2 linked regions of the Arabidopsis thaliana genome follow. The protein of the gene in region 2 interacts with the protein of the main gene of each other region in a pairwise test. Each region holds a gene or a part of one and is shown on either strand. Other genes may lie near its edges.

Evidence for each region. The genes of interacting proteins can lie anywhere in the genome.
Region 1: the proteins of GBF6 (region 2) and BZIP9 interact in binary tests that used the Arabidopsis thaliana proteins (3 or more experiments, as listed by UniProt).

The regions. Positions count from the first base shown.
Region 1 is NC_003076.8:8,511,798-8,518,439, reverse strand, and holds BZIP9 (basic leucine zipper 9), read right to left. Parts: upstream 3,241-6,642; 5' UTR 3,182-3,240; coding exon 3,068-3,181; intron 2,963-3,067; coding exon 2,872-2,962; intron 2,775-2,871; coding exon 2,603-2,774; intron 2,511-2,602; coding exon 2,435-2,510; intron 2,357-2,434; coding exon 2,231-2,356; intron 2,154-2,230; coding exon 1,899-2,153; 3' UTR 1,771-1,898; downstream 1-1,770. Other genes in the region: AT5G24810 (ABC1 family protein), read left to right, coding at 18-90, 169-360, 480-573, 658-1,538; AT5G24790 (transmembrane protein, putative (Protein of unknown function, DUF599)), read right to left, coding at 5,376-5,948, 6,197-6,364. UniProt on the Arabidopsis thaliana protein: Transcription factor.
Region 2 is NC_003075.7:16,518,881-16,525,826, forward strand, and holds GBF6 (G-box binding factor 6), read left to right. Parts: upstream 1-2,980; 5' UTR 2,981-3,568; coding exon 3,569-4,048; 3' UTR 4,049-4,350; downstream 4,351-6,946. UniProt on the Arabidopsis thaliana protein: Transcription factor that binds to the DNA sequence 5'-ACTCAT-3' in target gene promoters. Promotes POX1/PRODH1 expression in response to hypoosmolarity stress.

The DNA of each region.
Region 1 (6,642 bases), on a different chromosome or scaffold from region 2:
TTTATTCAATGATACAGGAAACTCCAGCTCGACCAGACTGTGGCAAATATGTGGCCAGGGTTCGGATCAAATGGAAAAGATACCATAAAGGTATAAGGAGCTACACTGTCACTTAACCATTTCGCAATCTATTGCCCTTCATTTTAATACCTCGGTTTTGTATTTCAGGTCCATCATGTGCTTAACCATACATCTGGGATGCAAAATTCCTTTGACCCTGTAGGAGAAAATCCTCTGCTTATTTGTGACTGGGATGAATGTTTGAAACGGATTGCTAATTCATCACCTGAAACAGAGCCTGGCAGTCAGCAGTCCTATCACTATCTCACGTTTGGATGGCTATGTGGTGGAATCCTCGAGGTAAACTAATTATATCATTCATTGTTTAAGCATAAAAACTATGCAAGTCGTCAAGTTGTAATTTTTTCTCTTACCTCTACTACGTTAATGCCAATCTTGCTTTCATCAATCTTGAACAGTATGCTTCTGGAAAGAAACTCCAGGAGATCCTTGAAGAGTCCATTGTTAAACCCCTAAATATTGATGGAGAACTGTACATTGGAATCCCCCCAGGTAAATAGTAACAGTCACAGACATTGTGAATTAGTAAATTACGCTATGAGCGTTATTAATAATTATCTAACATCTTAATTATAGGTGTTGAATCTAGGCTTGCCACATTGACGTTCGACACTGATGAAATGAGCAAGCTTTCGTCCATTGCCAGCCAACCTGAGCTTCCTTCCACATTTCAGCCTGACAAGATCATACAAATGGCAACCAACTTGCCAGTCTTATTTAACACATTGAATGTGCGCAGAGCCATAATCCCTGCGGCTAATGGACATTGCTCTGCTCGTGCACTTGCAAGGTACTATGCAACCCTAGCAGATGGTGGCCTAGTGCCACCTCCACATTCCTCTTTATCCCAGCCACCACTAGGTAGCCACACCCATGTTCCGAAATTCACGTCGTTGAAAGACACAACAAAAAAGAAAAAGGGTAAGGAGATGGCAGCTACAGAAAAGGGTAAATCAAAAGATCATCAAGAGAGGAAGCTTTATGATGAGAAACAGTTTATGAGTGCTAGTAGCAGCAGAGAGTCAAATACAGAAAGTTTAGCCAGGCTAGTTGATACTAACAGTTCTGCTGGCAAAACTGAGATCAATAGCGATGATCATCAACATGATATTCATAATATGTTTAGCAACCCGAGGATCCATGATGCTTTCATGGGTGCTGGAGACTACAGTGGCTTAGTAGTGCCTGATGGAAAGTTTGGGCTTGGTTTTAAGCGCGCCATTTCTCAAGATGGGTCTCTGGTTGGCTTTGGACATTCAGGGTTAGGAGGATCAACAGGCTTCTGTGACATCAACAACAGATTTTCCATTGCAGTAACACTGAACAAGATGTCTATGGGAGGTGTAACGGCTAATATTGTGAAGCTTGTTTGCTCGGAATTAAATATCCCATTGCCTAAGGACTTCGCAACTGATATAGGTGCAGATTCGCAGATGGGTACGCCTCTAATCAACTGAGGTTGGTTTTCGACGTAAGTTTTGTCTGCTCATGTTACAACATGCATAGCTGTCGCCTTAAATAGCTAATAGAAATTGCTGGAAAGTAAAGTGTAATGGATCAGTGTTTTTGTTTGTTTGTCTGTATACTTACTTAAGCGAACACATTTAAGCAATTTCCTTGGAGAATGTAATTTATTGGCCTATACATGCTTCAGTTTCCAGATTACAATCTGCAGGATTTGGAGCAATTAAGTATATGTTGACGAAACTTGAGTTTATTTAACGAACATGCTGCTTTCATTATATGTTTCTAGTTCTATAGCGAAACACATACAGGAAATTCGCTGAGTGATCATTACATGTTCTGAAGAAAGAGAGTCATGGCCAGATGTCTGAGACGCAGCTAACAGCTTCACTGGATACATTACCAAGTCCAGGGCTTGAGTTCTGTCCAGAAAGTGTCATTCCAGGGAACAAAGATTGGTCACTGTGGACTGTAATGGCGGGCGAGGTATTTCCCGTGTAGTGCAGACTGCTGATGGAGTGTGATGGTGGACTTAGATGAGTTTGTAGAAGTTGATTCAAGCTGCTAGTGAGTGACCCTCTCGCTACCAAATCTTCTGCTAGTTTCACCTATATAGAATTTACTTAACTTAGCACATTCCGGTTATTACTTTCCCAAATTGAAAAGAGCAAGTGATAGATGATACCTTGACTCTCAGAGTTTCAACATCTGATTTGAGAACTCTGTTATTTGTTCCAGCGCTACGAAACTGTTGTGTTGCGTCTATGAGCTGCTTGTACAGTGTTGAGTTATCGCCTTTCAAAGAATCAACCTTGAAGAAAACACAAGGTCACCATTAAAACATTACTCTCTGATACAAATCATCCAACAAGCTATTTGTTAACCTTACCTGAGTCTCAAGATCTACCAAGTACTCTTGCTTCCTTCTCCTCGACCTCTTTGCTGATTCCCTGTTTGAGTTCATCCTGAATTCACATCACAGAAAAAGATTAAGAAGAATTGGTGATTCTCTATCTCAGTGTTTTACATCTAACTTTTTTATTGGTACCTAACATACCTTCTAATACGTTTCAGATCATTGGGATCATTAGTCATTTCAGATTGCCCTGCTTCTGTCTCGGCATCTTCGTCATCAGAGTTAACATGAGAAGATCCACTTGTGGTTCTCCTAACTCCTCCTCTTACCTCAGGTTTATTGGCTGACACTGGACTATCAGCTGACAGATTCTCTTTGTAGATAAGAGCCACACAAGTAGTGAACATTAATATCAACTGCAACAACACTTATTACTTACATGGAGTCAAATCAAAGAGACATGCACATACCGCAGATTGAGGACTGTGCATCGCGAAAAGGTCCAGCCGGAAACAATCCCTCAGACCACAAAAGACTATCTCTTAACTCACAAGTGTAATCCTACAACCAAAAGAAACTAGACTCTTAATTACTACAATATCTCTGGATCTTGATATAGACACAAGCAACAATGATACGAATAAGAGAGACAACAAAAGGACTAACCCGGTTCATGAGGTCGAAACAAGGGTCTAGAGGGCTTGTAGTGAGATACTCTTGTAGAGCCAGCTCAGAAGCACTTCTCTTCATACCAATGTCTTTAGCTGTGTGATTATCCATTTTCTTTGAATGTGAACACACAAGAAAGAAGAGAATTGGTTGGAAAAGAGAGGAGAGGGGAAGAGTAAGTGGTGATAGACATCTTCTTTATATAAGTCTCTCTTCTTTACTAAAGTTGTGAAAAAGCTTCTTAATGGCTAAGCAAAATTGAATTTGCATTGTCAATGCAACGTCCTCATTTCCAACTTTTTTTTTCTTTAATGACAACAATAACAAAAGAGAATAGAAAAGCAAAGCCACAGAGATGTATATTAGGCTCTGTAGTATTGGTGAATATTATGGTACCAATTATATGCTAATGATAACCTTTAATCCCTTAACTAGGGAGACTATCTAAGATAGCTGGAGACTCTTTCAATATAAATCATATCTGAATTCAAACATTAAGTTGTTTGTCAGCTCATTAATATGTTGGAGCTTTTGATTTGAAAATGAATGTTATAGGCATATATATAAGCAGCTTATATTCATAAAAGGATCCTAAAATATTTCGAAATAAGCTTTTAAATATTTGAAAATATTTAGATAATAATATTGTCACTCATGTACATTTGTATTCTTGGCACATGTCAAGAACCTTACACTTACATAAATTACTCTACTACATAACCTGTTTGAATTCGAATTTGAAGTACTTAACGACTAATTTAAGATTAATATACAAGGGGCATAGTCCAATGATGAAACTACAAAAACATTGAAAATGAATAAATTAACCTTTTACGGTAAATGTTTTACCGAATATATAATTTCATAAAACACTAAAAACTAATCTTCATAAATAATTGATAATATTTGAAGGAAAAATATTGATAATATTGTTTCAGTTTTTTACACCTTTGTATCATGTAGTAAAAATCTTTAAAATATTTATTATCATTCATTACTACTACAACACCAAAAAGAAAAACTTAAGAATTTTCCGGTCACACGAACAACACAAAATGCTTCGTCCTTTGTTTACTCTTACTTTTCGCCATATGCTTTTGGAAAGCAGATCTAAAAGACATTTCTTTCCTCCAGCACCAGAAATACTTTTTATTTCATCAACTTTTGTATGCGTAAACCAACTTTTCTTTCTTTTGATCTGCACTTCCTTTAAAAAGTTAAAATATTTCACAACAAAACAATAAAAAGAAACAAACTAGGTAATGTGTCTTTAAACAAACAAAAGTTGTTTAGATCCGAAAATAGAATCCAAAAGCATTTTAAAATTATTATTTCTCACTAACTAGAACTTTCGAACCTATAGTGGACTACAATGTTTACAATCTACCGACTACAGTACAATTCAGTAACCATAGTAACTAGTACAATTAAAATTCAATCCTTAGTGATGTTGAAAATTTTCATGTAATTTAGATGATGATTGATATACGTTTTTTGTAAGAAACGAATTTCTACTTGAGGCACATGCTAAATTTGTAAGTTAAAATACAGAAAATATGAATGAAAATTAGTTTATGAACACAAAAGTAATTTTTGTTTTCTTTTAGCAAAAAAAGAAGAAGTAATTTTTCTGTTTCTACAAACTCTACTTGTAATCTCCAAACGAGGTTTTGCAAAGAAAAAGAAAAGAAGATGAAAGGAATTATAAACAAAGGAAAAGAGAAACAAAAAAAAGACGTTGTTCTATGTCTAGTGATCACTAGAGTAGTTGGGGTGATTTAGTTTTCAGAAATTACTTTTCAAATCATATAACTGTGTTAGTATATTTTTTGGTCATGGGTAGATAAAAGTATTATAGAACAAACAAAAATTCTCATTTAAAATTCATGACAAAAACAAGAATTCTCGTGACCAAATGAATTTTATCAAAGTTTATGTGACCAAATAAAAAACACTAGAATCTTTAGTTTCAGTTTTGAGGGACCAATTGAATCTTTATTTGTTTTTTTTTTTTAAAAATTATTTTTGATACTATAATATTTAGTGTAGTAATTATATTTAGAATCTTTCTGGTTACAGATTTAAAATATTATTCCAGTAAAAGATCATGTATGACGTGAACGAGATTGAAGCTAGAGGTTAAAGATCACAAATAATAAAAGTTCATAAAAGCAAGGCCATAAGTCATAACAAGAGAAAATCTCCAAGTGCATTTATTAACAATCCGGAGGTTATGATATCATCGTCATGTACTATCAATAAGCATCATCCTTTAACCAAAAAAGTCATCTTGCGTCCTAGATTCCTAGTCTTCACCACCATTCGTAAAATCAGAGGAACGACGTATATCCACTATACGTAGTTTTTCTTTATTGTTGTTGCGTGACACGAAATCGAGGTGAGAAAGAACAAGAACCATCACCAAAACGCTAAAGAACACGAGGATGGGACCAAAGATCCATAACATTAGAGAAAAGCCTGCGTAGAACAACCTGTTACCTACCGTGTTAAGAAAGATACCCTTTTCGAACATCTCGCTGACGTGCTCAGACGTGAGGAAGACGCAACCAGAAGGATTAGGGTCTAAGTTAGGGATGTTTACGAGAATGGCGACTTGGTTTAGGAAACGGATGGAGAGGGAGTGGAAGAAAAAGGAGAAGATGAAAATTGTGAGAATTGTTAGGTATTTGATGGATATGGCGAAATCTCCATGAGCACCAAAAACGGCGTCGTTTAGAGGCTTCTTGATGCTGTAAGTGCTGCTTAACACTGCGGCTAGACCCGCGCAGAGAAGCACGCAGGTCGTGGCCATCAGTGTAGCTCCCATTACTATGTTACGCAGTGTTTGTACCGCCAATATGTTCGTCTTCTGATTGTCCTGAAAAATTAAACAACAAACAATAACCAATCTGCATATTTCTCCAATTATAAATATAGCTTATAGGTTTTCTTTTATGAGAAGATTTCGGACCAACCAAGACTAATCAACTCTACCATCTAAACTTATTAATCCTCATATCAAATCTCTAAGAAATATGACAATAACGACTAAATTATACCATCATATTGTTATAAAACTGTAACGTTTTTGATAAGAAGAATGCAATGGCGATGATTATGAAAAACCTTGATCATAGCAGAAATCCAAATCCGGCGGCCGTGAGAGTTAATGCCGAGGAGGGTGGAGAAGGGATTGGTTCGGACCATGAAGGACAAGTAGATGTGGTAACAAATCATCATCATAAGAGCTAAGGGCACAAGAATCGCGTCTAAGTACCATTTCTTCCACTCCATTTGCGCTCTCTTTCTCCTCTCTTTATTTTGTTCAACCTCTTCAACTTTAATAATTTCTTTTGTCGCAATATATATTATATATAAAGAGAACGATGAAAAAATAATAATAATCTTGGTTTTCACATAAAATTTAAGTATACCTTAATTTTCCAATATATATCAATTAATATACATATTTCCCCATAATGCATTAATTACCAAAACACTTCCGAAATTCCTATATTAGCAAAAACTTCCGAAAACTATTATTCAGAATTGTAATCGGTGTGTACATAGAT
Region 2 (6,946 bases):
AAGTAGGGTTTGTTGTTTGGTCATGTGATTGAGAAAGATAGAACACAAATTGAATTTTGTTTTCCTTTTTTTGCATTTGCGTTTATTACTTCCTTTAGTCCTCTCTCTTTCGTTGTCTTTCTTTTGGTAGTCCCCACACAAAGATTGTATGTACCTTCCATGATATTTACGGATCATATTTTTCCTGCAACAATATATAAAACTTTTTTCTTATTTATTTGTAACAAAAGAAAGCACCATGTCCGTCAATTTGTATAAGAAATTAGATATCTAAAAGCTAGACTTGTTGCCAAACGAATTTGGTTTCTAGTAATAACAACATTAAAAGGAGAAAAAAGGAAACACGTACGTGTAGATATATCAACCAAATCAATCTCTCGACAAGCTTTTTATATACGTGAATTATTGAAGATTTTGATTGTTAGATATAGCGAAATACACAAAGGGTTTCTTTAAAGAATATATATACACAGTTAAAACAAAAATATTCACAGAGAATCACATGAAGTCTTGAGACCATTTGTTTCCTTCGAAGGTCAAAAGATGTTCTACTGAGGTCTGTAGCCACTGTAAGAAATAATAATTGTACTTTGGGATTAAAATATCCAATTGAAACATCAAGCAAAATTGTAATCGAATGAACCGTGAACGTGTAATAAATGGACACACATGTACTTTCTCAGATTCTTTTTGAGGATTGCGGAGAGACGTTTGTCGACATTGGCGTTACATCATTATCAATGATAATGCAATTTAATTAAGAAAAAAATGATTATGCAAATTAAGATTAACGACGATGAGCGGTTGGTCTATGTCGGTTAGTTTTGTATAATGAGATTTCAAGATCCGAAGAAAATTTTGACCTTTTAAAAATTTAACCCAATTTTGTGAGAGTATCCCCGGAATTTTGGAGGTTGGCATGATTAGATATCAACTATCAAGTGTGTCGTACCATTCATGTAATTTCTTTTTTACTAATTTTGTTATATTTCTTTTTAACTGTTTTGATTTATTTATAAATAGACTAAAAAGTATGTTGAGTGAATATGTTTGGTGAAATTCATGCATCGTTTTTGGGAAGTGGGCTGGATCAGTGGATCTCTTCCACACTTTCCCAAACTAATAAAGAGAAACTGAAAATAAATAAAAAACGAAAAAAGTTAAATTATTTAATCGTAATTTAAATTTTGTAAAACAATTTTTATAACTAAAACACCATCTGTGGTAAGACGGTGGAATACATTAAGAATGTAGTATTAAATTACTACTCTACAAGTACTTAACTAATTATTATAATCCTTACATATTATCAGCATCTGAATAATTAACCCAGATTAATACGTATAAATCTTTCACAAATTGGAGAATAAGATTAGGAAATGAAAACAGCTGTATTGAGTCTGGAGAGTTCGTATCCCAACCTCACATGTCCCTCTCACCTTTTCTTCTTCTTCGGCCTACTTACACATGTTCTTCTCATTTTACTCTAAGCACAGATTCTTTTGTATTTCTTAATCTCTTTTTATTTTTATTTCAGGTTTTTTTTCATTTGATTATTCACAAATTAACTATTTTATTTAGTGTTGGTGGTAATTGATTTTTAATTAGTTTCATAGATTTCTGCAGACAAATTCTGGCTTTCATGTTTTTCTTTTTGCTTTTTTTTTTAATAATAATTCGCATTACAAATATATCATTAATTTTTCTTTCTCTTTTGTCGTTACGTGAAAATAGATTTGCTGTGTGTTTTTTTTCTCCCGACAAATATAGACTTAGAGCATTTCCATCGCGAGTTTCTGGATTCTGGTCTATTAAAACAGAACAAAAAATTCAAAAAATGTGGAGAGAAAGTAAAAACGTTTCTCACTTGAGAAACTCATTTTTGCTTTTGTTTTGTTTTGATTGGTTCAAATAATAATTAAAAAAATAAATAATAAAATAATAATAAAATTTATATTATTTTATAAAAATGGGTTTCTCACCGATGGAGATGGTCTTACTGTTTTACTGAAGAAGATTTAATAAAGTTCTCGCTTCTTTTTTCCTCTGAGCTTAACTTTTTACTTTTTGTGATAATAAAAAGAAGAAAACAAAGAAAAAGTTTTGTTTTCCTCTAAAACAAAGAATAGTTTTATCTGCAATCTTTGTAAAAGAAACTGTACTTTGTTTTTTTTTTCAATTTCTTTCCTCCTAAGAAATCACAGTACTAAACAAAACCAAAAGAAAAAAAAAAAAAATTTAGGCAGGTCAATTTTTAAGCTGGTCTGTTTTTGTGTGAGCTTTAATTTTCTGTCTTTGAAATATCTTTATCTACCACGACAGTTTATAAAATTTGAAAGGGAAATTTATTTGGTATTAGGTTTCTAAGAACTTCAATAAAGCTATATTTTCAATTACTTGTTATTAAATGCAAAAAAAAATCTAAATGGATGTTTAGGTATAACTGCAACAAAATTTATGGAAAAAACAAGACTTGATGAATGTATAATCTCAAGAGTTATTTTAAGCATAAATTTAAATCTAAATTTTCTATTTAAAATTATTTGATGAATTTTTCTATTTTTAATTATGATAAATGCAAGATTCATAGTATCTAAATTTAATACAGTATATGATTAGGCTTTTCATTAAACAATATAAATATTTTTTTTATCTTGACATAATGATGAGTAAATAATTTACCAACTAAATACATATAATTTTTGATCAATACCATTCAAAAGAAGAAAAAACACTTTCTCTTACTTATCTTTGAATTAATTTTGAAATATTTCATTAAGAAAAATTAATTGTTTAAAATATTGCTTTGATTAATGTAGACACTCTAGAAAACTTTTTAAAGGTTAGGGAAAAAATGTTACCAAAAAAAAGTTAGGAAAAAAATGTAAAAATAAAGAAAAGAATCTTCTTCCCCTAATAGAATCCAAACAAATGTATCGCTTACCATCAAGTTGCACAAACACTCAAAACGCTTTTTGATGATTTTTCTTCTATAAAATCTTTCTCCTCAACCATTTCAAAGCCCCCTCTTCTCTCCTTCTCTCCCTTTTCTCTCTCTCTCGAAGATATCGCCTTTAATTCCTTCTTCTTCTTCTGATTTCTTCAAAGATTCATTTCTTAGAGATCTCAGCTTCTGTAAGAGTAGGCTAGCTACCAAAAAAAAAGAAATAGAAAAAAACATTGATGCTTAATCAGCAGTTCTTGGTGTTTGAGACACATGTCTCCAATAATACTCAGTGAGATCTTTCTCTCTGGGTTTATGTTAAATTCCACAATCAGGCGCAGGACCCATCTTGTTCAATCTTTCTCTGTTGTCTTCCTTTACTGGCTTTACTATGTCTCATGATCTCTGAACTTATCTCCAGTTTTATATCTATACGCATAATTACAACAAAACCCTAGTTTCTTTTCAAATTTCTCTTCTTCGTTTTTCGTCATCTGGGTCCTGTCCTGTTCTGTTGTGTCTTGTTCTGTTCTGTTTTTAATTCCCCTAAAAACCCATTTTAAAATATTTTATCTCTCTTCTCTTAAAAAAAACTCTTCCCTGTTTTTGTTTGTGTGTTACTAAATGGAATCGTCGTCGTCGGGAACAACTTCGTCGACGATTCAAACGTCGTCAGGATCGGAGGAGAGTCTCATGGAGCAGAGGAAACGTAAACGGATGCTCTCAAACCGTGAATCTGCAAGGAGATCAAGAATGAAGAAACAAAAGCTCCTAGACGATCTAACGGCTCAGGTTAATCATCTGAAAAAAGAGAACACGGAGATCGTGACAAGTGTCAGCATCACAACGCAACACTACCTAACCGTTGAAGCAGAGAACTCTGTTCTCAGAGCTCAGCTTGATGAACTTAACCACAGGCTCCAATCTCTCAACGACATCATCGAGTTCCTCGACAGTAGCAACAACAACAACAACAACAACATGGGCATGTGTTCGAACCCTCTGGTTGGTTTGGAGTGTGATGATTTCTTCGTGAATCAGATGAACATGTCTTATATTATGAACCAGCCTCTCATGGCGTCTTCTGATGCTTTAATGTATTAAATGTGGACCTAAAAACCCCCTCGAAATCACAAAGAAATGGGGCCGTTTTTATTTGTCCGATTTAGAGACATGTCCAAAGAGAGAGATTTATATATAAAAATGGGTCTGTTGTTTGATTTGTTTCCATTTCAAATTTTTGTTTGTTTGGGTCCGTTTTAGGCGTTAGGTATCTCTAAGCATCATCGTTATGAGTGTGTCTGTAATAAAGGCTCTGTTGCCGCATGAGTACAAAGTGTTTTCTTAATATTGTAATATGCTTATTACTTTCTTTTTATTCTTAAGTACTAATCCCATTTTTATATAATTTCTTGAGCATTAATAGTAAAGTAATAAAATGTATCGTAGTAAGAGTTTCGCATGTAACGTACGCTCTACAGAATCATGTTTCACGCCAATCAAACATTATAGTAGGCAGATGAAATATCAATGATAAAATAGCTTGTAATTTTGGGTAATCTTCAACTCGCCAAAGTAAAATTTTAAAAAGGTGTTAATGTTGATTAAGGTGTTTTTAGTCATGAACGAGTGTGGATGATATTAGATTCAGTTTATAGATTTGGATCTATTCTTAAGAAGAAGACTTACGAAATTCAAAACTTTTAAGAATCTAGATGAATTGAGGGTTGGTAGGTTAATGTTGTAATAAGAAGAAACCTTATTTTCTTTTTGATCTGGAAAAAGATAAACAACATATAACATCTTACATAAAATCCTTTTATGTCTGAAGATCTCTCAGAATAAGAAATGAAACTGTGCAGATTCTTGTAAAATATTTTAAACTTATTTCTTGTGAATTTTGGAGATTTTTTTTGTGTGCTAGACTTATAGGTGAAATCATAGCCTCTTGTATTCTTTGCTTTTACACATCATCTTTTAATTGATTTTCTTATCTCAAATTTCTTTTTGGGATTTTAAATTTCACAGTTCCATTTATCACCAATAGATCCATATACAAGTACATCACAAAATAATGGTTATACTACATCGTGAGTAATAATGGGAATCCTATTCTACCCTTTTGGCAGAACTATACTTTTTGTTGCTGGATAGTTTGTTTTATATCCATTGATCACGGATGGTTCATTTCATAAATATTATAAATAGAAAGCCTCTTTTTATTTTATATGAAGAAGTCTTCTATTTGATAATTGCGGTATATATTTTTTACCTTTATTTCAAGTTTAGTATTCCTTCTTGAGAATATCGTACATGTGTCGACAGACTCGAGAGATTATAAAAAGGCATCTTATGTGTTTTGATCTAGCTAGGCTCTTAGGAACATTGAAAAGATATGTAATTCATTGCTTACTGTTTGTAGTTTCGAAGATAATAAAGACCCAAAACGTAAGTTAAGTGAAGGGGTTAATTATTAAAAAAAAAACTAACAGAATGTGAAGTACTAAAGGAGATAGTTGATAAAAACCAGAATATCATTTTATACTAGCTAGAGTATACGCACTAAATCACCATATGCATGGTAAAGATTTATTACAAAAAAAAAAGAAAAGAAAAAAAACACTATGCTAGAAAATCTGAAATTAGTGGGATAATAATCGTGGATAATTTTAACCAATAACATGAATTATGTAATACATTATTTATCCGATGATACACTTGTTATCATGCAAAAAAACACCTTATTCATTTTACGATTTTCCGATCATAAATTTTGTTTTAAATGATATCTTCTTCCATAAGCTTATATAGCAAATGCACCTTTTATAATAGCCGTTGTTAAAAAATTCAAAAACATAATAATTTGGAAGTGATAATCAATTATGGCAAATTTGTCATGTGCAGGGAACAATATTTGCCGGTACTTGACCTAAAAACACATGATAATTCAAAGACTTTAATAGTGGATCGCCTAATTAAATGATTTTATAACGTTTGTTAATTATCCTAGATCTACCTGAACAAACATAATTGATAATCAGTCGGTTAATTATGTATACAATATATATGCATCTAAAGAATCTAATATAAGGTTCTTTTCGTTATATAAGAGAATATATATATATATATATATATAAGTTTATTAATTATAATGGACTTTCACAAACAACTTAAAGATCTTTTGCATGACGTAATATAACAACCTATCAGCCTGAAAAACAGACAATCAAGAAGGTTGGAGGAGTCTTGGAGAAAAATATAGGAGCCACAGGACGGTCGTGAGTCAATCCATAGAGACATTTGGTTACATATATAGATTGTGGGTTGGTTTATGCCTAATTAAACTCGATGTACTATACTCTAATCCCACGAACAAAGACAGGCATTAACTTTTGATCTACATTAAAACATACACCAACTGATTTTACACGAATTGTCTGCAGATATTCTTGAAGATTCCCTCAGATTGAAAGATATATGCTTGAGAAGAGCTTTAGTCAAAGGAAGAGCTTTAGTCAAACGATTAGACAAAACTCAAAAGGAGAAAAAAATCCCAAAAAACATATCTATATGATTAAAAACGTTTTTAGTGATGCTCACAGGGCGAAACGAAGGTAATGTTTTGTCTGCTAGTGGATCACATTTCTTTTCTATTCCCACGTAACATGCAATTTTTTTTTAATTTTTTTTTGTACAAACATGCAAAGGTATTTAAGGTTGTCAAAATCATATTTTTTTGTTATCAAAATAATATGTTAAATTAGAGTGAAAATGTCATTAGAGTTGCGTAAGCGCGCAACTTTCCCAATTTTGATTAGTTCTCTCTAATAAGCCTCAACGATTGAACATAATTTCAACCATGTTACGGAGGTCAAGAGATGATTAAAAGACATAATAAATCGTCCTTTACAAATATTGAAATTCTTAGCCGTTGTACAGCTTATATACTACTTTTTTCACTGTCATATACTTCAATTTAATTAATATATTCGTAACTAAAAT